7 linked regions of the Bombyx mori genome follow. The protein of the gene in region 4 purifies or fractionates together with the protein of the main gene of each other region. This does not show direct contact. Links are inferred from orthologs where the notes say so. Each region holds a gene or a part of one and is shown on either strand. Other genes may lie near its edges.

Region 1 (4,601 bases), on a different chromosome or scaffold from region 4:
CTTGGCCATCACCCGTCACTTCAATGTTGAATACGAAGACCCGGCGCCCCTGATAGAAAATTACAGCGATAGAGCTGAGGACTACTTCCGTAACGGTATCGAGACGCTGCGCAGAACGAGACCGCTCGTGTCATCGCCAACCAGGATCGAACGCCCCAACTTGCCTCCTCTGAACCTTCAGCCGAGGACGCTGCGCCGCGCGCCCCACTCCCGCCGCGTTAGCGACGCTAATAATCCAGAGAAATCGGCCATCTGAACCGAGAGTGGCGCGGTATTCTCCGTCGCCGATACAACTGAAATCGATTACGATTGGCAGTCGATTGAAAATTCGAACGTTGACCGTCTCGTTTAACAACCGTACTATTGACTCTTGTTTCACTGAGTGTAATGCTTTTTTAGTTTTGAAAAATCGTCGTCGAAATTTCTGGTAGTTCAGTGATTAACATTCGTTCATAAATACTAAAATGCTCTTTTACGGTAATTGTGTGTTTATGTAAATATTGTGTATGCACTTATTAAGTATTCCAAGTCTGTGTGTTGAACAGTACAATGTGCTTAGTACCATTTGTATGGAGTTGGAACAGCGCCTTTAGCGGCAAACGCAGAGTAACTGCCCCAGCTCCATACAATTTTGAGTAACTTTTACACGATCGAGAAGTTAAAACAACTCGCACCAGGCACACTGTACAATGTAAATAATACTTTGGAGGATGTTTATTGTATGTAATTTAACATAACAAATAGCTATCATTAAATCAATAAATATTCGAAAACTAGTGAGCAGCTGTATCTAGTCTAGTTTCTAGTCTGTAAGCACAATTTCTAGTCATGTTCGTACCTACTTGTGAATTTAGAGGTAAATATAGATATAGTCCACTGTGTATTTTATTGAAAATCAATTCCACAATTTTCTTCGCAATGAATTTTTATGCTCGAATTTTGTACTTATGAATAAAATCGACGTTGTGTAAACAGTGTTTTTTTCATTTCTAGGAGCAAACTCTAATTAAATTATTGATAAAATTCTGAGCCAAATCCGTACTTTCTATCCGTCACAACAAGCATAAACAACAAACAATAAATTTTTTCTTCAAATACCCTTTAGTATTTCAGCTCAATAAGAGGAATTTAAAATGTTTGTTTTAAAACAATTAAAATGGTAATTTCAAAAAATCATAATAATTATGTTTGTTGCAGGCTAATCGAGATTTGCATTCATTTGCCCAAATTTTTTATTATCTGTACAGTGACACTTGACAGTGACGCTGCTCATACCGTCCATTTGACGTTTGTTTGACGTAGGATTTATTTTGTAGGAAAGTTGTTGCTGTTTGTTGTCGGGTATTTCTTGGTCTCGACACCGTTAAAACCAAAAAGCTTTTCGTAAGAATCATAAGGAATATGCATTAATTAAAAATAAAATTGAATTTAAATGCTGATTTAATATTACAAGTTAATAGTATTTCGTATTCTTTAAGTAATTTTAGACATTAATTAATAACTTCATAATGTCTGAGGACGTGATTAAACATTCTGTACACACTTTAGTGTTTCGATCGTTGAAAAGATCGCACGATATGTTCCTAGCTAATCAAGGAATGTTGCCGCCAATCGACGATAAAGCGTAAGTAAAACAGAATAATATTATTTGAGGTTAGTTTAATACAAGTCCTAATGGAAATAATCGATGAGCTATTTCAAAGATCGGTACAATAGACAAACTAAGCGATTTGTTGTTCCGTATCAAAAAATTTCTGCTAAACCTTTAAAACTTTCTACTGTACTGGAGAAAACCTTTATGGGAGCAGACAATGTTGTCAAGGTAAATAAATTAGAGGAAAATGTCACGTTATGTATAACTACATAAAACACTAGAGTAGATAATTATTATTTATAATTTTACATTAACAGAGAGAAAGTACTGAAATTGGTTAAAGCAAGAGATAGTTACGGACAAGTCATGGGTGCAGTGCGGAAGGCTCAGGCCCTGAAACAACAAGAGTCTGTCACCTGTAGACCTGAAACTCCACTGACCACAGGTAAAAACAATTAACAAACTCCTATATACGGTTAAGCGCTTAGGCTCAGGATAAATAAAACTTCCACTGAAGTACATATTAAAACTCTATTTAAAACTAAGAACACTTACCAAACACTTTACAATTCGTAATTCACTTCTTCCGCTTCGCTTCAGGTGATCCGTTTGCTGTTTCGCTTTGAGTAGATCCTTTTAATAACTGCTTTCATGTCATCTCTGCAACGCTTTTATAGTCAATACGATATCTCTACAAAAATCGAGAACATTCCAGAAATATGGATCAAATACAGAAACAAAAAAAAAATTATTCATTTTTATGGAATTTTTTTTACAACAAAGTTGCATTTTCGTTATGATAAAAAAACAGCAAGAATTTAGCTGTGGACCTCATGAGTTCTATGCTCATTACATTCAATAAAAAATCGGTCCAATACTCCTTGATATTGCAATGAAATAAATCGAATGTTTTCTTTAGCAGAAACAGTGGAAACTGCACCTTTGCCGTCGGAAGGGGCTGTTGTCCCATACTCTGGACCAACACCTTCACCGTCACCAGCTCCCCCCTCGGGGGCTTTAACTGTACCACGGAAACCGCCGTCTATGCCCAAACCAAAATGGCACCCACCCTGGAAATTAATGCGTGTTATATCAGGTCATCTGGGTTGGGTTCGATGTGTTGCTGTAGAACCTGGAAATGAGTGGTTTGCTACCGGTAAGTAAAATTATAGAAACCACATACAGAGCAAACTAATGGCATCTAATATGCCAACATTTAACTAATATATTTAATCCTTTTAGTATAAATTAGAAGAAGGATATGTGGTAAGAATTATAATTACAAATTTGTCAATCTTAAAAATTTTATTAATATAAAGTTTGATTTTTACATATTAAATATACTTATTTATAAGACTTTTTTATCAATACAACACAAAACATAAACTTTGACAGTTAGATAATCAATATATTGTATTTGTGTAGACAAGCTGTTGTCCTATGAACGGTTGAAAAAATAAACTTGATTTATGATTAAAGTTACTTCATTTTTCTGTTATAATGAACTTTTAGCACAACCATTACAATAAAACCAATCCTAAGGAATTAATCTGCATGATGGTTTTGATATTTCAGGTGCCGCTGACAGAGTGATAAAAGTATGGGATTTAGCAAGTGGGAAACTAAAAGTATCTCTCACTGGACATGTGAGTACAGTAAGAGGTAGGTGCGCACACTTTTTGTATTCATGCAAAAATCAATGCTTGGTTTTCAGATTTTGAATAATGAACGCATTTTTCTTTTATTGCCCAGACAAGCACACTGCCCACCTGATGGTGAGTGGTTACCGTCGCCCAGGAACTTCAGTAATGCCATGGGCTTAGCCAAGCCGCTGCCTACTAAATTAGTAATTTTTTTAGCATCATCAGCCTGCGGCAGTCTGCTGCTGGACATAAGCCTCCCCAAAGCTCGCCACTAAACCCAATCTTCGGTTCCTTAATTAATTTAGTAATTTTTTATTTTAGTAATAGTAGACATTTTTAATTTTTTCAAACTTTTGCTGCTATGTATATTACAGAATTACATAACAAGTTCTGATCATAATTTTCACATTAACACAGTTCTGGATATTTCATCATGTTGTACGCACAGAGACCGTAGGTTGAGTCTATGTTAATTGTGAAAATCATGATCTAAGAATCCATCAAGTACCAGTATGTGTAATATGAATATATTCTATTTCAGGAGTGGTAGTGTCACCAAGACATCCATATTTATTCAGCTGCGGTGAGGACAGACAGGTGAAGTGCTGGGACTTAGAATATAACAAAGTGAGTTATTGACCTATAAATAACAAAAAAATATAGGTTAAATGATATGTCTTTAAATATATGTAAAGAAAACTTTTATTATTTAAAACTATTTAGATTTTAAAAAGGATTTTTCTTCAGTGTTATTCAGTGTCATGGAGTGAAGTGAAAAAGAGAGTTCAGTTTTGTATAGTTTATTATTAATAATATGTACTGTTTACTCTTTAATTGAGGTTAAGGGCTTTATATGTTGCTTTCTTACTATATCACAGAAACCACAACTAATTCATTATTGTTTATTCATTCTGAAATACTCCATATAATTATATGTATATAAAGCAGATGAATTTTTGTATTTAGGATCGGTTCGTTGTGTGTGCAGGTGATCCGGCAGTACCACGGTCACCTGTCGGCCGTGGTGTGTCTGGCGCTGCACCCGCGCCTCGACGTGCTGGTGTCGGCCGGCCGCGACGGCACCGCGCGCGTGTGGGACGTGCGCAGCAAGGCCAACGTGCACACGCTCGCCGCGCACACCGACACCGTCGCCTCGCTCGCCTGCCAGGCCGCCGAGCCGCAGGTGCGACCCGCCCCGCCACACCACGCCCCGCCCCGCCCCGCCCCGTCCCGCCACGCCACGCCAAGCCCACTGACACGATGTGTGGACGAGCTCACAGCCCACCTGGTGCTAAGTGGTTACTGGAGCCCATAGACATTTACAACGCAAGTGCGCCACCCACCTTGAGATATAAATTCTAAGG
Region 2 (4,477 bases), on a different chromosome or scaffold from region 4:
CTTCAAACCGAAACGCATTACTGCTTCACGGCAGAAATAAGCAGGGTGGTGGTATCTACCCGCGCGGACTCACAAGAGGTCCTACCACCAGTAAAAAAAATTAAATGCAGGACTATAAGCTTAATTTAAATATTTATTTTGTATGCAAATGGTGCTAAAATAAAGTATGTTTTTAGCATTATCGCTTTTTCGTCTTTTGTGAACATAGATTAAAATGCCAGTTTATATAATAAAAAAATCTTTGGACGTGTTTCTAATTTAGTTTAATTAAATCAATATAGTGTAGGCAGACAATTATAGATTTTGATTTTGTAGTGGATACCAGTTACTGGACATGGGCCTTCTGTACTTTTCAGTTAAAACTGGTCGCGTTCCTGTATAATTATCCTATAGCAAGGCTCTAAAAACAGTAATTTCTTGAAACTACTTGCACCCCACCTCTCACACTGTACGTAGGTACTCTAAATTAAATTATGGCTTGTTTTATTCTGAAGTTTTTAGGCATGAAATTTTATCCAAATGCATCCAGTAGTATTTGTGTGAAGTATTAACATCCAATATCAGTAAATTTTGCATGTCTAAGAATATAAAAATATGAAGTCATAAAGACAAAATGATATGTTCAAAATGGATATTTTGTTACATTAATATGAACATGGTCAAAATAAATATATCAATTTCCTGTCTACATTCTAAAGTTAAACATATCACAGCCTGTCTTACTGATAACGATGAAAGCTCCCAAATTGTTGGTAAAGAAATAAAACACTCAGATATCACAATATGAAATGTCACTTTAATTAGATAAACCTAGTTAAACAGTAAATGTGGCTCAATGTATTACAAATCAATGTTAAAGCAGGCCAGTCTAATTACCAACAAAATGAGCCACAGCAGTAAATAGGTATGGGAATGAAACTTAATCTATCGTCCTTCGATGTAGGTAGAGAGCTCAATTTCTTCAGGCAGCTCTGTAATGTTCACATCGAAACGATCTTGTACTTGGTTTAAGATCTTGGCATCATTTTCATCAGATATCATAGTAATGGCCAGACCTTTGGTACCAAACCTTCCTGCGCGGGCGACACGATGTAGATATGTATCTGAATCTTCAGGCATGTCATAGTTGAAGACAATATTTACCCTTTCAATGTCCATTCCCCGGCCAAACAAATTTGTTGCAACCAGGATCCTTTTTTGGAAGTCCTTGAACTGTTGATAGCGGGAGAGACGCTCATCCTGGGTCATATTTCTGTGGATACCAATGGCAGGGAAGTTTTGGTCGGTGAGCAGTTGTGCCAGAGCTATGCAGCGCTGTACTGATTTCACAAAAATAACCACCTGATTGAACTCCAATACATCAAGTAGTTCGAAGAGTTTTTTATTCTTCTCATTTTCTTTTAGTTTCACATAATGTTGCTGCAGTCCATGTAGCTTGAGTTTGGCTTCATCATCTACATAAACTTCCATTGGGTCTTGCATAAATTTCTTACACACAGGTCTGATTTCTTTACTCAATGTGGCTGAGAACATCATCACCTGTTTCCCGTGAGGAGTGTTCCGGAATATCTCCTGCACATCTCGCCTCATGTCTAGAGATTCCAGCATCTTATCACACTCATCAAGGATGAAGTGTTTTAAATGTTTCAAATTAAGTTTCTTACTGTTTACTAATGCCAAAATTCTACCGGGAGTTCCCACTACAATGTGAGGACATGCTGTCTTAAGGACTTCCTCGTCTTTCTGAATTGGCATACCACCAAAGAATACTGATACTCTGACTCCTGACATATATTTCGAGAAACGCTCGTACTCCTTACTTATTTGGAAAGCCAACTCTCTGGTGTGGCACATTACAAGCACGTAAACGTGGCTCTCGGAGGGTTCCAGCTGCTGCAATGTTGCCAAAACAAACACGGCTGTCTTACCCATACCGGACTTGGCTTGGCAAAGTATGTCCATACCGAGGACGGCTTGCGGAATGCATTCGTGTTGAACTTCGGAAGGATGCTCAAAACCGCAATCAACAATAGCGCGGAGTATCTCTGGCTTAAGTAAGAAGTCTCTAAAACCAGAACTGTGGATGGATACGTAGGATCCTTTAACCTCCTTCTTTGGCGCCACTTCGGTAGACCCGTCAGCAGTCTGTTGATCTGCTTGTTCTTCATCTTCGTAGTCGAGAAGATCGTCGTTGTCAGCCATGATTTACTTTAGTTTAATTAGCTTGTTTACTGTATCGTACTCACTGTGAGCACGTGAAATTTATTTTTACAATACGATTTCACAATAATGGCGGCTTCGGCTTTTTTGGCGTCAATCCAAACTTTTTTTGTTATGTTTGACAGTTAAATATGACGTGCCACTTGGCTTTTTCGCCACTCAACAGTTTACGAGAATTAAATTTGCAATTTGATTTTTGATTAATTTGAAATTTTATTTGTGTAAAGTAAAAAGAAGAACACAGGCGAACAGCTATAATGCAATCATAGTTTTTATTTTCACGTGAGCACGTGAATAATATGTCTTTTATATGATTTTTTTCATGTCATATTATTTTTTGAAATGACCCATTTTATGAGTATTTAAAAATGAAATACTTAGAGCAGTGATTATCAAACTTATTTCTTTTACCGCCCCCTTTGAATATCAATTATTTTTCAGCGCCCCCCATTTTTTATACACCCCTAAAACTTTAAAACCACAATTTCATTAATTTAATTAATAAATGTTGTATTAATTTTATTAAATGTAGTACCACGTAGTACATATATATTTGTAGATGCTATTATTGTTTCTTCATATTATTATATGTCCGTACATTGCTACAGAGCGTGTATTTACAAATTTGCAAAGTAAAAATGAATTCTTCTCATCAATATGTTTGTTTAAATTCAGAATTACCAAAATAAATTGCTAGTTCACTGTACTATTACTATGCTAATTTATTAGAACGAAACTATTTTTGTTGAATATCTTTCTCATTAATATAAGATTCTCATCATAAGATAATTAAAAATTTATATTTCGACTAGTAAATAATACTACTAACAATAATAACTTATTAAACTACGAATAAGCTAAACCTGGAAGACGTAGAGGATTTCATTTATCTGGGCTCCGTCATAGCTAGTAATGGAACCTCCGAAAAGGACCTCAGAAGGCGAATCAGTATGGCAAAGAGGGCTATGTTCCAAATGGACTGTGCTTGGGTGGCATTTTTTTCTACGGCGCAGAGACTTGGACCCTCAAGAAAGCCGACCGCCAACGCATCGACGCGTTTGAGATGTGGTGCTGGAGGAAAATGCTCGGGATTCGTTGGACAGAACACAGAACCAACGAATCCATTCTTACCGAGCTCAAGATTCCAATGCGCCTCCGCACTACATGCGCGCGGAGGAGTTTAGAGATCTTTGGACATATCGCCAGAAAGAGAGGTGAGAATCTGGAAAAGTTGCTGGTAACAGGCAAGGTATGCGGGAGAGGGCACAGAGGCAGAAATCCAATGCGCTGGTCGGACCAAATACGCTCCACTCTCAAAACTTCAGTCCACGTTGCTATCCATACAGCCGAGGACAGGCAGGAATGGCGCAAGATGATGCAGGAGAAAGTTATTAGAGGAGGCCGCGACCCTCAGCACTGAGGATTATCGACGCAAGAAGGAAGGAAACTACGAAAAACAAATTAATATCATTTCGTATTATAGATAAATATGGGTAATTTTTCATAGAATTTTAGTTTATAATTTAGAACTGGTTCAAATAAAAACCGCCACCTAAGTCAGCGTTTTTATTATTTGTAATAATTAATATCTGTACTAATATTATAAAGAGGAAAGTTTTGTTAGTTTGTATTAAATAGGCTCCGAAACTACTAAGCCGATTGGAAAAATTCTTTCACTGTTTGGAAGCTTCACTATTCCCGAGTGACGTAGACTATAACCTTTTTTAAAAAAAAATTGGGTATCCTTACTAAAACTCCAATAATTTAACCCAAGGTGTAAAAAAAATTACCTAAAATATTCTTTACGTCGCGTGCCCTACGAAAACTATTGATGATAGAATAAAATAATGGGACACAGGAGTTTTGCTGAGTTTGCTCGTCTTGCCACCGCTCGGGTGGCGCATGTCGTCGGTAAAATCAGGAAATCGGGCCTCGACGTGACACTCAGTAAATCCGAGGCCATGTGGTTCCACAGGCCGCGGAGAGTGCCACCTATCGATGCCCATATCGTGGTTGGAGGCATCCGTATCGGGTCGGGGTGCAGTTGAAGTACCTCGGCCTCATTCTGGACAGTCGTTGGACCTTCCGTGTTCACTTTCAGAATCTGGTCCCTCGTTTGTTGGGGGTGGCTGGCACGTTAAGCCGGCTTCTTTACAACATCGGGGGGCATGACCAGGTGACGCGCCTTATACGAGGCGCCCGTGTGGGGCCAGTCACTGGCCGTGGGGGTAGCGAAGTTGCTGCAACGGCCGCAACG
Region 3 (4,163 bases), on a different chromosome or scaffold from region 4:
GAAATGGATGTGGCTTTGGGTCAGGAAGTTGGTTACAGCATTCGTTTTGAAGACTGTTCAGGGCCACAAACACTTCTAAAATACATGACAGACGGTATGTTGCTAAGAGAGGCTATGTCTGACCCAATGCTAGAACAATATAGAGTTATACTCCTCGATGAAGCCCACGAAAGGACACTTGCAACAGATATCCTGATGGGTGTTCTCAAAGAAGTCATAAAACAGAGGTCCGATTTGAAACTCGTTATTATGTCAGCCACATTAGATGCTGGAAAGTTCCAGCATTATTTTGACAATGCTCCATTAATGAACATTCCTGGTCGGACTCATCCGGTAGAAATATTTTACACTCCACAACCTGAACGAGATTACCTAGAAGCTGCGATAAGGACTGTAATACAAATCCATATGTGTGAAGAGATCTCTGGTGATATACTACTATTTTTAACTGGACAAGAGGAGATTGAGGATGCTTGTAAGAGAATTAAAAGAGAAATAGACAATCTGGGAACTGATGCAGGAGAGCTAAAGTGCATACCGTTATATTCAACATTGCCGCCAAATTTACAGCAACGGATCTTTGAGCCGGCACCTCCAAATCGACCAAACGGAGCCATCGGCAGGAAGGTGGTAGTGTCCACAAACATCGCTGAAACATCTCTGACTATTGATGGTGTTGTTTTTGTCATTGACCCAGGTTTTGCGAAACAAAAAGTTTATAATCCCCGTATAAGGGTGGAATCGTTATTGGTTTCTCCGATAAGTAAAGCATCAGCCCAACAGAGAGCGGGGAGGGCCGGCAGAACTAGACCTGGGAAGTGCTTCCGGTTATATACTGAGAAAGCATACAAGGATGAAATGCAGGACAATACTTATCCTGAGATTTTGAGGTAATTTTTATAACGGTTTGTATGTGACTACCGTTTCGAATGTAGTGAGTAAATACTGTATTTATTTCTATACTAACAGTTGTAATGTTCAATTATTATTCTTATATAATAACAAGATAAGCTCTGTTTGTCTATATTTTATAGCTTTTCATGTGCATCATTATTTCTGTCTGATTGGGTGTGGTCACTGTCAATTGCTGAGAATCATCACTTTATATTACTGTCAATTGTGTATAAAGTTTACTTGTTGTTTAGTAGTCCAAATAAAAATGTATGTGCTATAAAATCATTAATTGTGACGAATCTTGGATATTTTTTCCAAAATAGGTTTACGTCATAGAAACAACAAGCTAGCTATATAGGCTATATATAGTTTCTAGAATATATTTTCATACAAGTCGGTGTAGTGGGCAGAGCACGACAATGTTTCTCTACTCTAATATAATTTTGAATGGGTTACAATTCGCGGTATAAGAATCAGACCAAACGCATACCCACAAAAAAAAAATTTTTTTTTTCATGAAACTGTTCAAAATATAGTATTTTATGAATTGCCAAAACGACGTAATGGTATAGTTGATATTTAACAAATTCCAAAACAACTAAAAAGCCTAAGAATCACTTTCAATGGAACCAGAAAAATGTATGGAATTTGGTATGAAACGAGAAAAATTGAGAATTTTTTCCTGACTTTATCTGACTCTTACACAGCGAATTACACTAACATAGTTCTAGAAGCTAACACCCTAAATATCTCAGCTATTGAATGGGTGAAGTCTAAGAGTACTGTTACTGTCATGTCAATATGCTAAAATCACACCCCCTTTAAGTTTGTCCTGTTCGGGTAATGAAGTGAGTTGTAATCTAATAATACGACTGCGTTGCCCGTTCCAGATCAAACTTAGGATCTGTAGTTTTGCAGTTGAAGAAGTTGGGCATCGATGACCTGGTGCATTTCGATTTCATGGATCCACCGGCTCCGGAGACACTCATGCGGGCGCTCGAGCTGCTCAACTATCTGGCTGCGCTGGGTGAGCTTGTGCTGTATATTGTTTTTGAAATTACTTTAGAAGCGTTCATGGATTATTGTAACTAGAGTTGCCACGAATAGTGATTTGGCCGAATACCGAATATTCGGCAACGCTGTTGGCGGAAGCGCCGAATATTCGGCACAAAGTACATGCTAGTTAGTCGAGCGCGTAAAGAATAATATGACCGGTTGGGACCTGTCTCCATCGTGTGCGGGCGGTGTCCGGCCATTAGACTGTTTCAGTTGCGAGTAAATCACGTCACGGCACGCTTTGTCAGATCAATATAAATGAAACATTACGATTTTGTAGAAAACTTTTATCGTCAGTTCTTTTTCAATTGTTGTTCATTAAAAAATGACACCAATTAATAAAAAATCGGCCATATGGGAATATTATGAGATTTGTAATGAAAATAATAAACAAAAATCATTATTCGAGTTTTTTGACGAAACATGATTTGAGACCTGCCCTTCATTTTTCGGTATTGGGCCGAATAGTACCTATTATTTGGCCCAATACCGAATACCAAACAAAGTGGCCGAATAGGCCGACTACCGAATATTCGTGGCATGTCTAATTGTAACGTCACTAAAAAAGGCAAAGACAAAACAATCATAATATACCATTTGTCTATTCTTTTTGTGGTTTTTCTTAAGCTTTCGTAAGGATACTGTTAGTAATAAATAAAAGTTGGAAATACTTAGCCTTACTTACTTCATGAAGAAATGACAATAACAAAACAAAAGACAGAAATGTAATGGAATTTTGACCATTCAATGGATTTATAGATGTATGCAGTGAGGACAGACCTATGCAGGCTCTGCATGGCCTGCCATGAATTAAGTTTTTTTGCTTAAATCTGTGGGCGTCTATCACCCACCTGATGTTAAGTGGCTACCAGAGCCCTCAGCCATCAATAACGTAAATTTCGCCATCTACATTGAGACATGAGTTCTGAGTATACGTTTTACAGTACAATGGCTGCCTTCGAACCGGAACACATTACTGCTTCACGGCAGAAATAGTCATGGTCGTGGTATCTACTCGCGTGAGCTCACAAGACGACCTAACACCAGTCGAGACAGATGGGTTATTATTCATGATGTTCATTTGTCATTTGATTCTCCACAGATGATGACGGTAACCTCACTGACCTGGGTGCTGTGATGGCGGAGTTCCCCCTCGACCCACAGCTGGCCAAGATGCTGATAGCCAGCTGCAATCACAACTGTTCCAACGAGATCCTCTCCATCACTGCCATGCTGTCAGGTAGGATGTTCCATATCTGTGCTTACAGATAGCGTGGTCATCGTTCTCGTCGAACCCGTCGCTTGCGACGAAGGGCTCGACGAGTAAATTAACCCACAGACACAGCCCACTGAGTTTCTCGCCGGATCTTCTCAGTGGGTCGCGTTTTCAATCCGGTGGTAGATTCTGCGAAGCACGGCTCTTGCTAGGGTTCGTGTTAGCAACGACGTCAGGTTTGAGCCCCGTGAGCTCACCTACTAGTTAAGGTTACACTGAAATAGCCTCTCAAGGGTCTCAGCTTAGGTAGGAAAAAAAACCCAGATAGTATTTGACTTGCTTTAAGTGATTTCTTGTTGGGTATACGATACTGTCTGTTTATTTAAAGAAAAAATCACAAGCCACACTTCACTAGTTTGTTTTAATAGAAATTAATTTTAATAAATTGTCCAACTCCTGAACTGGGGGTAGCCTCAATATCTACAGACTTTTAACTTGGAGAATATACTGGGCAACTAGGTCAAAATGCTGAAACTACAATATATCGAATAAGGATGATGCGATTACAATTGCAAATAAGACAAGCATCATGTAGCTGAATGCACCATAAGCTCATAGAAATAATTTGTTTGATACGATATTGTATAAGTAATGGTTACATGGCTCATCGATGGAGCATGAGACAAAAAATTGTTGAAGAGTGCGGAGTTGAGTGACCCCTCCCAGCACTGACGCTTCCTCACCACATTTGTCATAAAACTAGGGGCCTGTTTCAAACCCAATGAAGGAAGTTTTAACGATGACATTTGTTCTATGCATCAATGGGAGTCACAAGCTATTGTTTTTGTTAAACGAAGAACGCTTATGACGTCACCGTCATGCGAAAGAGACAGCGAGACTACCCGTAGACTGGCTCCACATTAGCAAAGGAAACATCCCCACTGCTCTGTGCTGCTGTTCATACTACCTTCATAGCTTCATATTGTTACGCGCTGGG
Region 4 (4,163 bases):
CCGTCTATATCGGCTCTGGAGCTCGACATAGTGAAATTAACCGCGCAATTTGTCGCCAGAAACGGTCGTCAGTTCTTAACGGATTTAATGAAGAAAGAGGAGCGTAATCATCAGTTTGATTTTCTTCGTCCCCAGCATTCACTGTTCCAATACTTCACGCGTCTGCTTGAGCAGTACACGAAGGTGTTGCTGCCGCCAAAAGAACTAGTATCAAAGCTGAATGCTGAGATACGCAGCGGGATATTAGAACAAGCTCGCAGTCGCGCTGCCTGGCACGCGCACCAAGCCAAGCGCAAGGCCGCTGACGAGGCCAAAATTGAGAAAGAGAGGCTCGCGTATGCCTCCATAGACTGGCACGATTTTGTCGTTGTTGAAACTGTAGATTACCCCGCAGGGGAACCCGGAGACTTCCCTCCTCCGACCACTCCACTAGAAGTCGGAGCCCGCGTCCTCGCCCAAGAGAGGGGTGAAGATATAATACGGAACCAGAATGACGACGATGATACTGAGATGCAAATTGAATCCGAATCGGAATCGGAGTCTGATGAGGAACTTGCGGAAATGGAGGATCGAACTCAGTCCCATCGGCCGGACGATAACCGCGTGCAAGACATGGAAGAGGAAAGCTCGACTTCGGAGGTAATATTTTTAATGATTTTACAATTTAAGCTGAACCAGTATCAACAAACTGATTTCAAAGCTAGCATTTAAAAAATCCTTCAATGCTATATATACAGTTCAGAGCCGTTTGATGCAGTGGTAAGTGACATGGTCACTACACAACAGGGTCGCGGGTTCGAATCCCGCCAAGGGAAGATATTTGTATGATAAATATAAAATGTTTTTTCCAGGGTTATGGATGTATATTAAATATATGTATGTGTATAATAAAAATCTTACATTTATTTCCGTTATCTGGTACCTGTAACACAAGTTCTTTACGAACTTAGCACAGAACCAGTTAACGTGGTGTGATTGTTAGTAAATATTTATTTATTATAAAAAAAAAGCTGTTCTGATAATATCATAGCTAATATTCATGTAAATTATTTTTCAGTCCGAGACGGAGCAAGACGCCCCGCGCGCGGACGAGGCGCCCCTCCCGCCGCGCCCCGACCGCGTCGTCGTCAAGAAGTACAACCCCAAGGAGGCGAAGCCCCGCGCCGCCGCCGGGGACGAGTGGCTCGTGTCGCCCATCACCGGCGAGAAGATCCCCGCCAGCAAGGTGGCCGAGCACGTGCGCATCGGGCTGCTGGACCCGCGCTGGCTGGAGCAGCGGGACCGCGCCGCCGCCGAGCGCACCGACCGGGACGAGGCGCTCGCCCCCGGGGCCGCCATCGAGGCTTCGCTTAAACAGGTATGCCCACATCCAAACTTTTTTGATAAATTTTTTTATTGCTTAAATGGGTGGACGAGCTCACAGCCCACCTGGTGTTAAGTGGTTACTAGAGCCCATAGACATCTACAATGTAAATGCGCCACGCACCTTGAGATATAAGTTCTAAGGTCTCAGTATAGTTACAACGGCTGCCCCGCCCTTCAAACCGAAACGCATTACTGCTTCACGGCTGAAATAGGCAGGGAGGTGGTACCTACCCGTGCGGACTCACAAGAGGTCCTACCACCAGTAACTATTTGCTATGTGTATGTGCATTACTATAATTCTCATGTTGTATTTGTTATTTTAGCTGTTCTACACACACTCATCACTTTTAATTATTATTCTCATAATCCTCTCGCAGGTCTGCTGGAAGAGATTTCTTAAAAAAATAAGCAGTGCCTTTGTACATAATTTTCCTATTACTCGGTACTATGCCTTCTTTTTTGTGTGTACGTAAATAAATAAATAAGTTTATATAATAATATCAAATTTTAAATAAAAAACTGAATTCAACAAAATACAACGAGAGAGAAACGTCTGAAGTCAATAAATGTGCAACTATTGAGGATAATTCCAAAACTACTGATCAAATCTTCATAAAATTTAAATGGCACCATGCTTTCAAATAAACAAATCATCAAAATCAATTCACAAGAGAAAAAAACCTCAGGAAACAAAAAAATGTCGAATTGCAAACCTCCTTATTTTGTAAGTCTGTTAAGAAAATAATAAACATTTGTTGTAGTTGGCGGAGCGTCGTACTGACATCTTCGGTGTAGGGGACGAGGAAACGACCATCGGTAAGAAGATCGGCGAGGAGGAGAAGAAGCGCGACGAGCGCGTGACGTGGGACGGGCACACCTCCAGCGTGGAGGCCGCCACCCGCGCCGCCAGGGCGCACATCACGCTCGAGGACCAGATCCAGCAGATACACAAGGTGAGCCGCGCCGCCTCCCTTCCACCAGGCCAACGACAAGGACAATGCCACCTCCAAAAGAGCTCCGCATATTCCTTTTTATACATTTTTCCCCCTACCTATGCTGATAGCCTTGAGAGGCTTTTTCTTCTAGATACACCATTTGGTCCACTACAAAATGTTTCTTTATTAATTTCGTTTTTTTTTTTTCATAGAACAAAATAGTTTGAAATTTTCAAATTTTAAACGCATGTGTAGAAAAATATGTGTCGAGTCTCCTAGTACATAAACCGGGGCCGAAAACAATGCGAATAAATCCAGCCACAAAATTTAAAATAATATACAAATATTTTAGTGTTGCACTCGATTTTAGTGACTTTTTTTTCTATATACTGAGTCTTAAGCGGCTATATCAGCTTCGCCCTAACATGTAAGTGAGCTCACGGGGCTCAAACCGGGAGTGTTGCTAACACTGACCCTAGCAAGAGCAGTGCTTCGCAGAATCTACCACCGGATCGGAAACGCGACCCACTGAGAAGATCCGGCGAGAAACTCAGTAGGCTGTGTCTGAGGGTTAAATTAGCGACCCGCCCGTGCTTCGCTTCGGGAACTATAACTTATTATTGATCTTATTGAATTTTCTATCTTCATCTTTCATAATATCGCGCACTCGATTGTGAATAGTCATAACTATTCAAATATTGATCCACCTACCATTCATTACAACCATGATTAACATGCATGTTATTCTGCAGTGTAAGCTATATTATTGTAAGCTTCATCAAAATTCATTGAGCACTTTTTGCGTGAAAGAGTAACAATTAAGATGTAGTGGGAAATTATTTTCCTTCGGGAAAACTCTGATCTTTATCGGAATACGATGACACCCGAACAGTCAATGAATGATTATATTAAATGAGTAACATTTTCATATCCAATAGTATGGAACTTTATTATTTAGTGTCAAAATGAATAATGTCATTGCACTGAGAGAGCACGATAAATACGAACTTTTCCGAAAAATTACGAAGTACTTTTCTGAATATGTCTATACATTCTTACACACTTTCACATTTATAATATTAAGTAGGATGAATCAAAAAAGGGTATTATTATGATATATAAAAAAATCATTGGATTCATTGAACATTGGCTTCAACCCTGATTCCTTCAATGCAGGAAAGGGCTTGCATTTTTTTGCTTACCTAATCGTCGGTACCCTAAAGGGCTATTCTAACTACTCACGGACCGGTAGGTGAGCTCCCTGGGCTCATCCTGAGAGAATTTACTAAAACTAGCCCTAGCAAGCACAGTGCTTCGCAGAATCTACCATCGGGTCGGAATCACGGCCCAATGAGAAGACCCGGTGAAAGAAACTCAGTTACTTGTGTTTGTGGCAGCGTATTCCCAAAAGGACAAGCACTAACACATTTCCCCACCCCCACTGTGCCAGAAAAAAGTTTTCATAAACTATCGTAAATGCCTTAAACAAATAAAATATCAATCAAACTGCTGGGAAACCCGATCGCGAATAACATTGCACAGCGCGTAATAAAAATCTCGTCAATAAAATATAAAACATTAAAACAGAAAAACAATAAAAATGTTTCACGTGTATTGTATTTCTCTTATGTTGAACAACATTGTAATACATAATGGGTATTGTGGCATTGAATCTAATGTTATATTTCGTTTTGCAAACTGTAAATATTGTGGTTTGCACGAAATCACTGCGCACAGGCAGAGATGCTTTAGAAGATGAGTACCCGTACGTTGTGACGGTCGAGTTAAAACTCACGAATACTACGACGAACGCTCTGCTGTGCTCGGGGTGCGTGCTGACCCCGACCTGGACCCTGACCACCG
Region 5 (4,836 bases), on a different chromosome or scaffold from region 4:
TGGGTATTGAATCGAATTCATATTAAATCTTACGATTTTATCATGATCATGATGTTTCATTCTTTAATATATGCTGCATCAAATAAATTAATTTGTGATAAAAATGTTTAAATTAAGCTTGGCACCTCAAAATATAAGTATTCAAGGCTTGACAAGGTCGATTGAATTGAAAAAGTTACCTATGTTTGACTACATATTAATTGCTTTCATTTGTAACAATGTTATGGGCACATTTACAGCATTTAAGTATCAAATGATAATAATATATCATGTACATAATACTCACAATAGTTTCCACAGTTTTGTAAAATTACGAGACAAATTTATAACCTCTAAGGAACCGCTTGGTCTCAGCCGTGAGAAAATAAGTCTACTAACTACGACCGAGATAGGGACGAATGAAATGGAACGTAAGAATAGGTACTCGGACTCTAGAGATACTATGATGGAATGATCGATAATTTATTTGACTCTTTGGGAGATAATAGCATTATACTTACAGGTAGTTCATGAATTCTGAATTACTTTTCGCATATTGTAATAATCTATAGTAATATAAGTAAAATCGTAAAACAGTAGGTAGGTACATACCTTTCAATAATGTACATCACGTATCGCATACAACACCCATTCACGCATCCCTCAGACCGTCCAGGTCGTCCAGTAAATTGACAGGATAATGTGCCACCTGTGCTATTTAACCTGTCATGTATACTGAATGAATAATGAAGTCAAGACGACTTTTTGGCGGGAACGCGAGGAGTGAAATAGTGTGATTTGTTTCATTTTGTCTATTTAGTGTTTTTTCGGGTTTCAATGTGTAATAAAGGTGGTTTATTAACTGTTTAGTATCTGTGAAAGTGCACAAATGTGGGAAAATTAAACAAAGCCGCTGAACGTAACTTCTCGGGATCCTCCAAAAAGTCCACTGAAAAAGTTTCAATAAATGACCACCATTTTACTGAGATTATATTTCGTCCCATAACATCTCATTTCGTTTAATTTCATGCCAATTGATTATGTTTCCTTCGTTTTTTATTATTCAAAAACTGGAAATAATTAAAACGGCGAATTATAAAAATCTTATTACTTGACGCTGGCTAATGCACAAACCGTGCCGTAGCCAAAAACTAAAGAAAAAGAAGAAGAATGAAGCCAAGAAGCCCTCTTTTCAATATGGAAAATCAGTGTATGTGTAATCACAAAGTTTAACAAATCGGTAAGATTTGCGCCAAGAAAATCCGGAACTGCTGTTGTCTAGTGTCAGTAACCGGCTCTACAAAATATCGGCTCGTCCGTGTAAGCTATAATCTATGTTAAGCTGCTCTGCTAAAGTAACATAAACTTTTTGGCGGGAACGCGAGGAGTGAAGTTAAGTGATTTGTTTTATCTAATAATTTATCTAATAGTTTTGTCTAATAATGTTACTTTAGTTTTAAATGTGTGACATCTGTGAAACTGCACAAATGTGAGAAAATGAAAAAAAGCCGCTGAACGTAACTTCTCGGGATCCGCCGAAAAGTGTACTCAAAAAATTTCAGTAAGTGACCACCATTTTACTGAGATTATATGTCATCCCATATCATCACATCTCATTTTATTTAATTGCATCCCAGTTGATTAATGTCTCAAATTAATCGTCTTCATTTCGTTTCACTCCATAATATCATTTTTCATAAAAATTAGAATATAAATTATGATAAGACATGACTTAAAAATCTTAGTTACCAGGTCATAAAATCCCTTATAAAAAACCAACTTATTGTTACACGCTTGTCACTATTTGTCAAGCTCAACATAATTTCATTCACATTTCGTTCAATTTCAATTCATTAAAATGCAAAAAAGTAGCATGTGAATATTTACTGCAATATTAATTGGAATTAAATGAATTAATTTAATTTAGTAATCTCGTTACCCTCCAATTCACATTTAACAATGACTTCGACGACATCGACAAACAGGGGAGATTCTTTTGACGAATTTTACACAGAGGTAAGCCATGTTCAAATTACAACGATGGAATCACCAAATGTTACATTTTAAATTATACAATACTTTTATTAAAACTGATAAAGCTGTTGTGACATGCTGAACGAAAGAACATGGTACACGATTGGTACATGTAGAGAGTTTGAATAACAAACAAAACAGATACAATTTGTTTCTCATACCTTCATGCTTACTCTAAATCATGTTTATAAATTGTCATGCATAATTAATAATCGAAAAAAAAACAAAAACATTTTAATCAAGCATTTGACAAATTCTCAATGATGTTTCGTGAATTTCTGTTGTTCATAGGTTAAAGAAATTGAAAAACGTGACTCCGTTTTGACACCTAAACAACAGATTGAGAGGCTCCTTCGTCCTGGATCCACTTATTTCAATTTAAACCCATTTGAGGTACTTCAGGTTGAGCCTGATGCTACACTTGATGAAATCAAAAAGAAATATAGGAGATTGTCAATTCTTGTCCATCCGGATAAGAATATGGTGAGAAAACATTTCAATAACCAAGATTAGTTGGTAGTCTATAATTTGAAAACCCACAGTGAAGTTCTGAAATTACATTGGTACTCAAGACTTTTTTAAATTTTTCTTAGTATTGCATTATTAGAATTTTTGAAATGATGAATGTTTTTTGGTAAGATCTCCACAAGATTAGGCGGTTACGCCCGTCAACTATTCATTTTCATCCACAGATTGGTTGAGACCCTGGGAACGCCCTGTGACTCCACTACATAGGTAATGTATGGAATGCAAAAGGGTTAAAATAAAAATAGTGTAATAGAGACAAAACGACCTGATTAAGTTATATTATCTCAATTTACTCTATTATTTAGTGTATTGTTTTAATTTGCCTGAGAAAATTGAATAAAACATACAGAGCGACAGGCTATTATAGCATCTCAATATTTTTCTGTGTACTTCAAAACTATAAATATCGCAACATATTATGATTATACTTGTAATTAAATTCTGCAGACAGTTACCAATTTTTGGAATAAAACATGCATTTGACACATGTTTTTGAATAACTTCCTTAATGAATTATTCAATTTGAGCATGAAATAAAAATGAACCTTGAAAAGATTGTAATTTTTGTAATTATTATACAATTGAGACAAAAAGCTCAAGGTGCGTAGCAACATCTGTAACTCACTCAGTCACATCTGCAAGCTAAAAGCTTGTTCACCGATTTATACTATAAATTAATTAAACACTTTCATTAGTCAAAAAAAAATATCAAAAAATCTCTCACTGAATTCGCAAGTAAAATTGGTTAAATATATTTTTAACATTAATCAAATAAACATTAAAAATAGTAAATAATAACCAAATACCAAACAATTCTAGCAGTAACAAAATTACGGAATTTTAAATTGCAGGATGACTCTGAGCGTGCTCAACAAGCTTTTGAAATAGTGAATCGAGCTTGGAAAACATTAGAAAATGATGACACAAGAAAAAAATGTCTGGACATCTATGAAGAGGCTAAGGAACGAACAGATCATATGGTGAGTGATTTGCTTTATCTAATTACCTGATAAAGGTGATCAAATAGAAATATTGTCTTTGCCAATGTTAAAATCCGATTACAGTACCTATGAAGCCCGTAGTTTCAGATCCTCTCAATCCAATATCACTGCCTTTAGGTACCTCAAGCACCAGTCACTGTCGCATTTTCATTCCGGTGGTAGATTCTTTGAAGCCCTGTTCTTGCTAGGGCTAGTGTTAGCAAATTCGCCAGGTTAGAGCCCCGTGAGGTCACCTACTTGCCAAGCGAATCTAGTTAAATGATTATAAATGAAATTATTTATAAAATTTTAACTTAAAATTTTTGTACTTTTATATTATCATGAAACAAGGTATCATTTTGTTGTAATTATTTGAATTAAAAAATTCAAGGCTAGGCTTAAAAATATTAATCTCACTTCATGATGGGAATCGAAAACCAAAATTATGTTACATATCATTTCACAACAATGACCAATCAACATAAGTTAAACACTGATTTGTACTTATAAAATTGTATTTACACTGCTTATTTATAATTTCAGATAGAACAGAAACGGAAAAAGCTGAAAAAGGAAAACCGCTTAATAGAAACCATTCCTGAAGATGATCCAGAGAAAAAAAAACATGCCGTATATGTTATGACCATGAAAGTATGTATTGCGTAGTGCTGTTTAATTTAATAAAACTACATTTAATTCAAATGAATTTAAAGATAAATCATGTGTATCGGAATCAAATCCTCATGAGTCGCATTGAGTACATTACTTTATGTATCACCAATAGCTATTCAAACATACACCATTATGAATGACTAAGTGAAATTATGATAGGTATAATAGCCGGCAAACTTCTTGAGCATTTGTTGACGTAGTGGGGGTAAGTTTGCGCATGGTACACTCACGTGCAAAAACATTATTTACTCTGCGTCATAATGCAATTAAATTATTAAAATCAACATATGTATTTATTTATATATTTATTAGAACATCAACAAAAAATATAGGTTAATAATTGGGGTAAAATAGATATTCCTTCTATTAAGTCAAAACTAGAGCTGTTGCCAGGTCTTCGTTCAGTTGAAGCGAAGCTGGTATTTGTAATTTTTTTTTCGTTATCATAATCTTGACCATTACCATCATCACTGTTTTCATCACCCGAGTCGCCATCATCATGATAAGTCGACATAGGGCTCATCGGTGTAGTTTACGACTCGGTCGGTTCGATCTTCTTTTTTGTCTATAATTAATTATTTTTTGAAGATATTCGATTCGTAGTAATCGAATGTTACTTTTTTCAATTACCAGCTTCCGATTA
Region 6 (4,163 bases), on a different chromosome or scaffold from region 4:
TATTATTTTTGCCTACAAAGCAGTGTAAAAGTAAATTCAAAACTCCTTTCCATGCTGGCTATGGTAAGCTTAGGCCGCTTTTGTGCTGACGGCCTCATTTAACAATTGATTAAATTAGATACGGCAAGTAAAATGTCGTTTGACCGATTCGATTTATAGAACAACAATTTTAATTATTTTTTTTATGTCGTACTGTTAACATTAAAATTTAACCCATTTTTCCGTTGTTTGTAAAATTGCTGTAACATTTCATAGTGTGTGTTATAAGAGATTTCTGTACATGCCTGTAACTGGCTTACATACCAGTACTTAATTTTATACATGTTAAGTATAAGCTTGAGTGTTTTGTGTGTATTGCTGTTGGTGTGTCTAAATAAACTAGTGGTCCGCAGTAGTCGAAATTCGTCTATAATTAATTGGAATTATAAGTTTGAACATTATTATGGTTCTATCGTCAAAGACTATTATACTTCTATAATCACAGATGTCGCCAAGACTACACTATAGACAAATAATATTGAACATAAATAATATTAACCTATTCTAAATTTGACTACAGATTTTAAGCAATAACAAAAGTTCGACAATAAACAGAGTATAAGTGTGTGTCAAATACATGGTAGCGTGTGTAATGTTTTCTTCATTGATTTAATATATTTTTATGCATAATTTTACATAAATTTTAGCGTTCTGCACTTCTTCTCTATATTATGTATAAGTGTGGGAAATTTCATACTCCTCCGTCCAAGCCATTTTCGTAAAAAGGGATACGAATTTTTTGCTTCACGTATTAATATTCTAAATAAATAAATATGTGTTTTACAGAAACATCCTAATGTTAATACATCGAATGGTCGAGTTCGTCATCCGCGAGGGTCCGATGTTCGAGGCCATCATCATGAACAAGGAGATGCACAACCCCTACTTCCGGTTTCTGTTCGAGAACCAGTCGCCGGCCCACGTTTACTATAGGTGGAAGCTGTACTCCATGCTGCAGGGAGACTCGCCTAAACAGTGGAGGCTGGACGACTTCAGAATGTTTAAAGGTGAGATTTAGCTAAATTATAATACTTAGATTTAAAAAATGCATAAGATGCAATAAAAACAATTATAATAAGACCTGAACAAAAATATTGGAACAGGTTGGAATTTTTTAATCTGTACAGGTAGTTCTTTATCAAACTATTTTTAAGGCTTTTTGGCGGAAACGTGAGGAGTGAAGTTATGTGATTTGTTTTATTTTGTCTATTTAGTGTTTCTTCAAGTTTAAATGTATAATAACAGTGGTTTATTAACTGTTTAATATCTGTTTAAGTGCACAAATGTGGGAAAATGAAACAAAGCCGCTGGACGTAACTTCTCGGGATCCTCCAAAAAGTCCACTGAAAAAATCTTAGTAAATGACCACCATTTTACTGAGATTATATTATTTCATGCCATATCATTTCATTTAATTTCATCCCAGTTGATTAATGTCTCAAATTAATCATCTTCATTTCATTTCACTCCATTATATCATTTTTCATAAAAATATGAATGTAAATTAAAATAAGACATGACTTGAAGGTCGCAGTTACCAGGTAATAAAATCCCTTAAAAAAAAAAAACTATTTTTAAGAATTTCTTTATGAATTTGTTTCCTCGTCCTGTACTACCAGAAGTCCACGTGTTGGTGCCACCATTCACGTGCGTCAAATTAAAGTAACAGCTTAACATACCGAATGTCAATGATTTCAGATATCGTAACAATAAGTGGTATCTGAAAATAATGTACTAAAGCTTTCTGTTTGCATACAATCTAATATAAAACACAATTAACTGAAGCGCGGGTTTTGGGGAACGTGTGGGGTCATTGAACTTTGCGTTACATTGCGCGCTAATAAATTCACCAAAAGTACAAGTAATTATTCTTACCATATTATTATGTACTATTGTAAGATCGAAGAGTGTCAAAGTACCCTATAAATGGCTATAAAATTTGTATGTTCCCAGGTGGTTCAGTCTGGCGGCCGCCGGTGATGAATATGTACACGGCGGGCATGCCCGACGAGCTGGTGGAGGAGGAGGACGCCAAGGACTCCATGAGAGGAACGCTCTCCGTCAAGTCAGTTGCGCGACCCTTGCGCGTTTATTTCAATAATCTTTTTTGCATTCTGGATTCTTTGAAAGAACCCAAGAGTTATTGAATAGTGGTTTTGTTCCATTTCTCCATATTTGTGTATTTTGAAAAATAAGAATATAAATTAAAATAAGACATGCCTTGAAGGTCTTAGTTACCGGGTCATTAAATCCCTTAAAAAATAACGTAGTGTTGTGGTTGCAGTCAGCGCGACCGGCTGGAGGAGCTGATCCGCTCGCTGTCCCCGACGCGCGGCAGCGTGGGCGCGGCCATGGCGTGGTGCCTGGAGCACGCGGAGGCGGCGGGCGAGGTGGCGCAGTGCGTGTGCGAGGCGCTGGGCGGCGCCGACACCGCGCCGCACCGCCGCGTGGCGCGCCTCTACCTGCTCTCCGACATCCTGCACAACGCCGGCGCCAAGCTCACCAACGCCAGCGCCTACCGCGCCGCGTCAGTATACTGCTTCTCTATACTGCCAGCTTTAAATAAGCTAAGAACAAACAAAGCACGATATGGCTACGGTAGGCAGCGGCTTGACTCTGCCCCTGGCATTGCTGAAGTCCATGGGCGACGGTAACCACTTACCATCAGGTGAGCCGTATGCTCGTCTGCCTACAAAAGCAATAATAAAAAAAAGAATTTTATGAAACTACGGTAAAAATGAAACTTTTTTCACATTATAGACATTTGACTCTGACAAACAACATTTACATTAAACACTGACAAAAACAAACAAAAAAGCGTCGAGCACTGGCACAAATGAGTAATAGTCTATACACTATACGGTCAGCTATAGTTCACAGTATAGGCGCTGCCATATTGGCCTTGGCTGCTCTAACGAGCACCTTTCACTTTATCCCTACTCCGCAGACGACCGTCACGCGACATGCAACACACAGACGAAAAAGTTTGAGACGATGATGAAGGTTTCACTTTAAAAAAAGACAGCAAAAACATTCTATTGAAGTTAGACTTTGTTCTTGCGTGTAGATTCCAGCAGCGGCTGGCTGAGATCATGCGCAACTGCCAGCAGGCCTGGGCCCGCATGCCGTCCCGCCTGCAGCAGGAGGGCTTCCGGGCCCGGGTCACGCGCATCCTGCAGGCCTGGGCCGACTGGGCAGTCTATCCCACTGACTTCCTACTACATATTAACGACATCTTCCTGGGACAAGATAAGGTGAGCTTAACCCAATACTAAATTCCACTACTAAACGTTCACTTTACATGTCTAACCTATATAGCTACAAAAAAATTTTGGTGCTTTTTAAATCATAATAGCAGAATTAATGTCTTTGTAGAATGGCTATTAGTATTTCAATCGTATTAACTTGTATCTGACGGGGAGATACGGGTTGATATTGATGTCAACGGAATTTGAACAGAACGGACCAAACGAATTTCGGAAAATTTTCCAGGCCGTTCAATCTCAAACGATTTCGCCTACTGTTCAAAAATATGCTTTGCCAGAAAAGTATATTATTATCTTTATTTACAATATGAAAAGATACTTAAAAGTCTAATATCTGTAAAAAAAATAAAATAAAATAATAATGCTAATATTTTATCTCATAAAAACTTTACATATTATTATACTAATTTTTAAATTATTAAATTAGTCAAATTTTATTAATAAATTCTATTCCATATTTAAACACGAGCTTATTTTTATTATAAAAGAATGGATAAATTAAAAAAAAAACTTGGTTCTTGTTCGTTCATATACAGACACTATTGTAATGTTCATACATGGTAATGAGTTGTGGTTGTACAGGAGCGTCGTCCCTCGACCGAGGCGGGTGCGGGCGGCGCCGGCGCGGTGGAGGAGGCGGTGTCCCCGCGCTCCGACGCGTCCTCCTCGTCGTGGGAGGGCGGCGCCCGGGGCCCGCTGGACGGCGCCGCCCTGCGCCGCCTCGCCGCCGGCCGGGAGCCGCACGCGCCCGCGCTGCCGCCGCCGGACATCGACGGCGTGCCCGGTATGTACACGCGCCCACATTAACTCGACGTGGTGTTTGCGCACGTTCATTTTAGAAACTATTACCGGTGTTAG
Region 7 (4,624 bases), on a different chromosome or scaffold from region 4:
TCCGACTATTACATATTTATATTTATTTTATTTTTAATTTTTTAAATTAAATTGTATACCAATTAATTGCTCCTTCAGGATTTATATTTGTTTTTTTTTCACGACTAAAACCGCGTAGAAAGTTTAGCCATTATAGTTGACGCATGCGCAGTACACATATTTTGCATACATTTATTCAACTAATAAAAATAGTAAATTAAACAAAAAACGAGTAACTTCGAAAGAGAACAAACGTGTTTTATATAAGAACAATCGAAAATGAATATTTACGAGTCATTAAGGATGAAAAATATTAAAAATTGCATTAGAGGGGCTAACTTGTAGGTATATTTTTAATTTTTTTTTTTAAATAAATAAATGCAGAACAAACAATTATTAACAGTGAACAATCATGAACAAATGATGAACAAACGAATTAATAGAAAATAAGTATAAAATAGGAAAAAAATATTTTTTTGAGGGGCTAACTTCATTCACCTGGCTATGTCAGCGTAACCCTAACTTTAGTAGGTGAGCTCACGGGGCTCAAACCTGGTGAAGTAGGTGAGCTCACGGGGCTAGTAGTAGTTTTATTTTTCCAAATGGAAAGGCACAGGTATCATACCACACAGCGTAATCTTTTATATGTATTTTTTATTTTATGAAATATGATACTATGAAATGAATTGAAGTTGATTAATCTATGAAACATGGCATGAAATGAAATGAGATCTCAGTAAAATGGCGGTCATTTACTGAGATTTTTTCAGTGGACTTTTTGGAGGATCCCGAGAAGTTTATGCCATAGATATGATATTTAAATATTTTTTTAAGGGATTTTATGAACTAGTAACAAAGACCTTTAGGTCAAACATTTAAACATAATTTATGCTATACACAGGTTAATTTAATGAAAGTTTATCTCATTTAGTTGGAGTTTGAATATAAATGTAATGGCAGGCAACACTTGACACATGATTACAGATTTTGAATATTAGAATTATTTTAAATGCTTAATAAACAGATGATTGTCTTCTCGTAAGAAAAAGTCAGTACTTTTAATCTAGATATGGTCAAAGCAACATGTAAGAGTTTTACAAAAATATAAAGATAATAATTTTATAATGGTGTAACAGTGTTCAAACTATCTGCAATATAATTATAATGAAGCAGTGTTTTTTTAAATAGCCCCTCATTACCTACAGAACCCAATCCCCTCAAATTTAAACGTCCAACATTTTTCATAAAAATAAGTTTATAAATTAAAATAAGACATGCCTTAAAAGTGTTAGTTACCAGGTCATAAAAATCCTTAAATAAAAAAAAGTTGAGAGCACTGATTGTCAGATTTGTCTGATGTCAAGCAATGACAAGCATTGAAGCAACAGCAGTAAAAAGTTGAAGCGATAAATTATCAAGCAAGCAAATTAAGCATTTGTCGCCTGGTTGATTGAATTTAATATATAACTATGGCCGAAGATCTACGAAATTATACCTTACAATTGCAACAGGTAGGTAATATACATTATACCCAAAATATTTTTGTTTACCAAATATTTTACTCACTCTTGATGGTATTTTTCTTAGGTGGAGGCAGCGTTATTAACGGATCCACATAACGAAGAACTTTTGAAGTTAAAGGCTGATTTAGAAGAAGTAATTGAATTGACACAAGATTTAATTAAGACTCAAGACGGTGATTCAAAAGTCTCTAATATTCATGGTTCTAGTAATAGTGATGATGTTACAGCGTCCCTGTTGGCTGCAGAGGAACGAGATCCTGCAACTAGGCACTATTCTAAATGGATTATTGGCGAAAAATGTTTGGCAAAATGGAGAGCTGATGGAATGTAAGAATTAAAAAATGCTTTATTTCTGGAACTACTGTACACTTTTTACATTACAGTACTTATAAGTTAAACATATTGTATGTGAATTAAACCGATATTATAGTGATCTTAAAATTCTAGGTTTTATGAGGCTCTCATTGAGGAGGTGCTAGAAGACAATTTAAAAGTAAAATTTGATGGATACACAACCTTGGAAGTAGTCTCATTGACTGATATAAAGCCTTTAAATTCAGGAAGTAAAAGACCACATAGTACTGATGAGAGCAAGTAAGTAGAAATAAATCTCCTTGTTTTATATTTCATGAGATACATTATAATGAATACCAAATTGACCCTTGAAATACAACTGTCATCAAATAACAAAAATACTTACAATGTACTTAATAAAATTATAATATTAAATACTTCAATTATATTTATATATATATTATTAATATTCCATTTGAATCTCATGACTACTGTATCATTTGGTCCATGTTGTATAGCTGTGCAGTGAGTTTTACTGTTTTTAGATATAATGTGATTCTTGTCAAGTCTCAATCGTTGTGTTTACTGAGTAAAAAAAGTTATTTTAAAAACATTCAGTTCATGAATAATGTTAGATAGGTTAGAATTAATTCTTTAATAACATTTGCATTTTCGCATTGGCAGTAAACACTGGTTACAAAATTTGTTTAAAATCAGAGTTATTGTGATTTACATTATTTTAATTGAGAATGACAATTTTAACTTGAAGATATGCTTTGTCATTGGTATCATTTAACCTGAAATAAAAATGGAATGGATAAATGAAAATGGAAATGGAAATTTAAATGGATAAATTTTGAATTTACTTGTAATTGTGTAAAATTTATTGGCAGCAGCCTTCTTAGTATTCTTTGTGTTCCGTACCATATTTTATTTTCCCTGATGCTGTAATGTACCAAGCAAGCACTGAAATAATACTTTCATCTACATCATTTTGTAATTTTTGCATGTTCAAAACATATTTAAAGCTACTTTTACAGTATAATCTTGTAATTACTATTTTCATGATCAAAAAATCAGTAGTAAAAAGTATTAAGAAACAACAGAATCAAAGATGAAATGAAAATATTCAATGTGAGATTAAACCGTAATTTCAATTAAAATTGTTATTGTTGTGGAAAATGATTAAATTTGAATATTTGTTTCAGACTTATTGTATGATTAATTTTTTTATTTAATTCTAATAGTATTGTTGTAAATTGTAGAAAGAAATACATTAATTGATGTTTTTCCACTTTATATTTAGTGCTTACTGGAGCCCATAGAAATCACATAATTAAATATAAACATTGACCTTACCACTAGTATATATAAGATAGGAATGATCCATATGAATTAGGAACTTAGGTAGGAAATAAAGATAAAGATAGTACAAGTAGTTCACTGAGTCTGGGGTCATATCTGTATCTGATATCTTTTGTGTGCTTTTTCCCCAACCTATTATGATAAGAGCATAAAAGATAACATCCACTGAAAGTCTAGTGAAGGAGAACTCCACTTTAAAAAAAAACAGATGGAATTTAAATTCACTAATATAATGTTTTTCTTTCCAGACATGGCAAAGGGTATAACAGAGAGTATTTAAAGAAAAAAAAACAGAAGAAACAACAAAGATTCAAACAGATTGAAGAAGAACGAGAATCTGAGAAGAATAAGTGGTTATCATTTCATACTAAGGCTTCTAAAAAACCTGGTGTCAGAACAAAAAGTATATTTGCTTCTCCTGATAATCTGACAGGGAGAGTAGGAATTGGTACTTGTGGTATATCAGGTAAACCAATGACTGAGTATACACCTGGCGAAAAGTGGAAGAAAGGAGGATAAAAGCTTCAAAATAATTATAATTGTATCATTGTTTAGTTTTAATAGTCAACATATAGAAAATGGCAGAATATCGTTAAACTTCATCAAAACATTTATTTACTAGTGCAAAGGTTCAAATCTGGCCAGAGGCTGAACATAAATAATATTGAAAACATATTTCCGGGACTATTCTTCATTTATGAATGCACAGATAAATAAACTTTATTGTTAATTTTGCTGTAACTCTTTACATTAATTTATTTCATCTAATGAAATTATCAGTATGGGTCTCCCGAAATATTTATACCATAACATGGCTTTAGATTTTTAATGCAGAAAATGAGAGCTCATGTTCTACCGATTTTTTTAAAATAATTGAGCAATAAGTTATAGTCTAGATTCCAGAGGATTATACGGCAAGGTAAAAGCATAAAATTATTATTTATCTCAATAGTGGCCCTTAAGACCAGCCTTAGCAACTATCATTTACAATATTTTCTCAATGAAACAATGATGAAATATCCTATTTGTCTGATTTGATATAGAATATAGTCACTTGAAGAGGAAAACGTCTTATCTTGAAAAAATATTGCTGATGATACCCTAAGCCTGTATATAGTTAAGGTAGTCAATAATCGGAGGTGACTTACAACGAAAGATCTAAAGTACTAGATTGTGTCGTAATCAGTGGTAGGGTTGGGATCGCATATTTTTTTCTCTTGTGTTAATACTGCAATTTTCTGTAAATGTTTTACAGTACCAACCTATTGTATTATATGAGCTCTGTTATTGTCTAACGATATTTTGTCGAACTTTTAGACAGGGTGTAAGGAAACGGCTCTTGAAGTTGAACCGGTATAAATTACTTGTTTCTTAACATAAATGAAGAATAAAAAAACTTGGCTAATTACAAAATATAATTATTGTAAATACTGCACAATATAGAACTAATGTGTTCTTGGTAA

Evidence for each region.
Region 1: the proteins of splicing factor 3A subunit 1 (region 4) and pleiotropic regulator 1 fractionate together in Homo sapiens (co-fractionation; 3 studies listed by BioGRID and IntAct, with this or other methods). This does not show direct contact. The link is inferred for Bombyx mori from reciprocal best matches to the Homo sapiens genes SF3A1 and PLRG1.
Region 2: the proteins of splicing factor 3A subunit 1 (region 4) and ATP-dependent RNA helicase WM6 purify together in Homo sapiens (affinity purification with mass spectrometry; 3 studies listed by BioGRID and IntAct, with this or other methods). This does not show direct contact. The link is inferred for Bombyx mori from reciprocal best matches to the Homo sapiens genes SF3A1 and DDX39B.
Region 3: the proteins of splicing factor 3A subunit 1 (region 4) and putative pre-mRNA-splicing factor ATP-dependent RNA helicase PRP1 purify together in Homo sapiens (co-immunoprecipitation; 5 studies listed by BioGRID and IntAct, with this or other methods). This does not show direct contact. The link is inferred for Bombyx mori from reciprocal best matches to the Homo sapiens genes SF3A1 and DHX15.
Region 5: the proteins of splicing factor 3A subunit 1 (region 4) and DnaJ-21 purify together in Homo sapiens (affinity purification with mass spectrometry; 4 studies listed by BioGRID and IntAct, with this or other methods). This does not show direct contact. The link is inferred for Bombyx mori from reciprocal best matches to the Homo sapiens genes SF3A1 and DNAJC8.
Region 6: the proteins of splicing factor 3A subunit 1 (region 4) and U2 snRNP-associated SURP motif-containing protein purify together in Homo sapiens (affinity purification with mass spectrometry; 4 studies listed by BioGRID and IntAct, with this or other methods). This does not show direct contact. The link is inferred for Bombyx mori from reciprocal best matches to the Homo sapiens genes SF3A1 and U2SURP.
Region 7: the proteins of splicing factor 3A subunit 1 (region 4) and survival of motor neuron-related-splicing factor 30 purify together in Homo sapiens (affinity purification with mass spectrometry; 3 studies listed by BioGRID and IntAct, with this or other methods). This does not show direct contact. The link is inferred for Bombyx mori from reciprocal best matches to the Homo sapiens genes SF3A1 and SMNDC1.

The regions. Positions count from the first base shown.
Region 1 is NC_085129.1:1,617,006-1,621,606, reverse strand, and holds the start of pleiotropic regulator 1, read left to right. Parts: upstream 1-1,279; 5' UTR 1,280-1,508; coding exon 1,509-1,624; intron 1,625-1,911; coding exon 1,912-2,039; intron 2,040-2,513; coding exon 2,514-2,750; intron 2,751-3,169; coding exon 3,170-3,256; intron 3,257-3,778; coding exon 3,779-3,864; intron 3,865-4,225; coding exon 4,226-4,420; intron 4,421-4,601. Other genes in the region: uncharacterized protein LOC101740918, read left to right, coding at 1-256. UniProt on the Homo sapiens protein: Involved in pre-mRNA splicing as component of the spliceosome. Component of the PRP19-CDC5L complex that forms an integral part of the spliceosome and is required for activating pre-mRNA splicing.
Region 2 is NC_085122.1:1,017,412-1,021,888, reverse strand, and holds ATP-dependent RNA helicase WM6, read right to left. Parts: upstream 2,595-4,477; 5' UTR 2,203-2,594; coding exon 925-2,202; 3' UTR 775-924; downstream 1-774. UniProt on the Homo sapiens protein: Involved in nuclear export of spliced and unspliced mRNA. Component of the TREX complex which is thought to couple mRNA transcription, processing and nuclear export, and specifically associates with spliced mRNA and not with unspliced pre-mRNA.
Region 3 is NC_085130.1:9,705,646-9,709,808, forward strand, and holds part of putative pre-mRNA-splicing factor ATP-dependent RNA helicase PRP1, read left to right. Parts: coding exon 1-890; intron 891-1,784; coding exon 1,785-1,921; intron 1,922-3,052; coding exon 3,053-3,190; intron 3,191-4,163.
Region 4 is NC_085112.1:2,358,153-2,362,315, forward strand, and holds part of splicing factor 3A subunit 1, read left to right. Parts: coding exon 1-639; intron 640-1,057; coding exon 1,058-1,357; intron 1,358-2,126; coding exon 2,127-2,318; intron 2,319-2,324; exon of another isoform or gene 2,325-3,952; coding exon of another isoform or gene 3,953-4,163. Other genes in the region: transmembrane protease serine 3-like, read left to right, coding at 3,953-4,163. UniProt on the Homo sapiens protein: Component of the 17S U2 SnRNP complex of the spliceosome, a large ribonucleoprotein complex that removes introns from transcribed pre-mRNAs.
Region 5 is NC_085115.1:4,913,429-4,918,264, forward strand, and holds the start of DnaJ-21 (uncharacterized protein LOC101735997), read left to right. Parts: upstream 1-1,862; 5' UTR 1,863-1,938; coding exon 1,939-1,995; intron 1,996-2,304; coding exon 2,305-2,496; intron 2,497-3,392; coding exon 3,393-3,521; intron 3,522-4,064; coding exon 4,065-4,172; intron 4,173-4,836. UniProt on the Homo sapiens protein: Suppresses polyglutamine (polyQ) aggregation of ATXN3 in neuronal cells.
Region 6 is NC_085111.1:15,851,749-15,855,911, reverse strand, and holds part of U2 snRNP-associated SURP motif-containing protein, read left to right. Parts: intron 1-825; coding exon 826-1,046; intron 1,047-1,992; coding exon 1,993-2,104; intron 2,105-2,323; coding exon 2,324-2,566; intron 2,567-3,106; coding exon 3,107-3,293; intron 3,294-3,887; coding exon 3,888-4,089; intron 4,090-4,163.
Region 7 is NC_085111.1:9,515,749-9,520,372, reverse strand, and holds the start of survival of motor neuron-related-splicing factor 30, read left to right. Parts: upstream 1-1,276; 5' UTR 1,277-1,448; coding exon 1,449-1,490; intron 1,491-1,566; coding exon 1,567-1,829; intron 1,830-1,949; coding exon 1,950-2,096; intron 2,097-3,409; coding exon 3,410-3,680; 3' UTR 3,681-4,624. UniProt on the Homo sapiens protein: Involved in spliceosome assembly.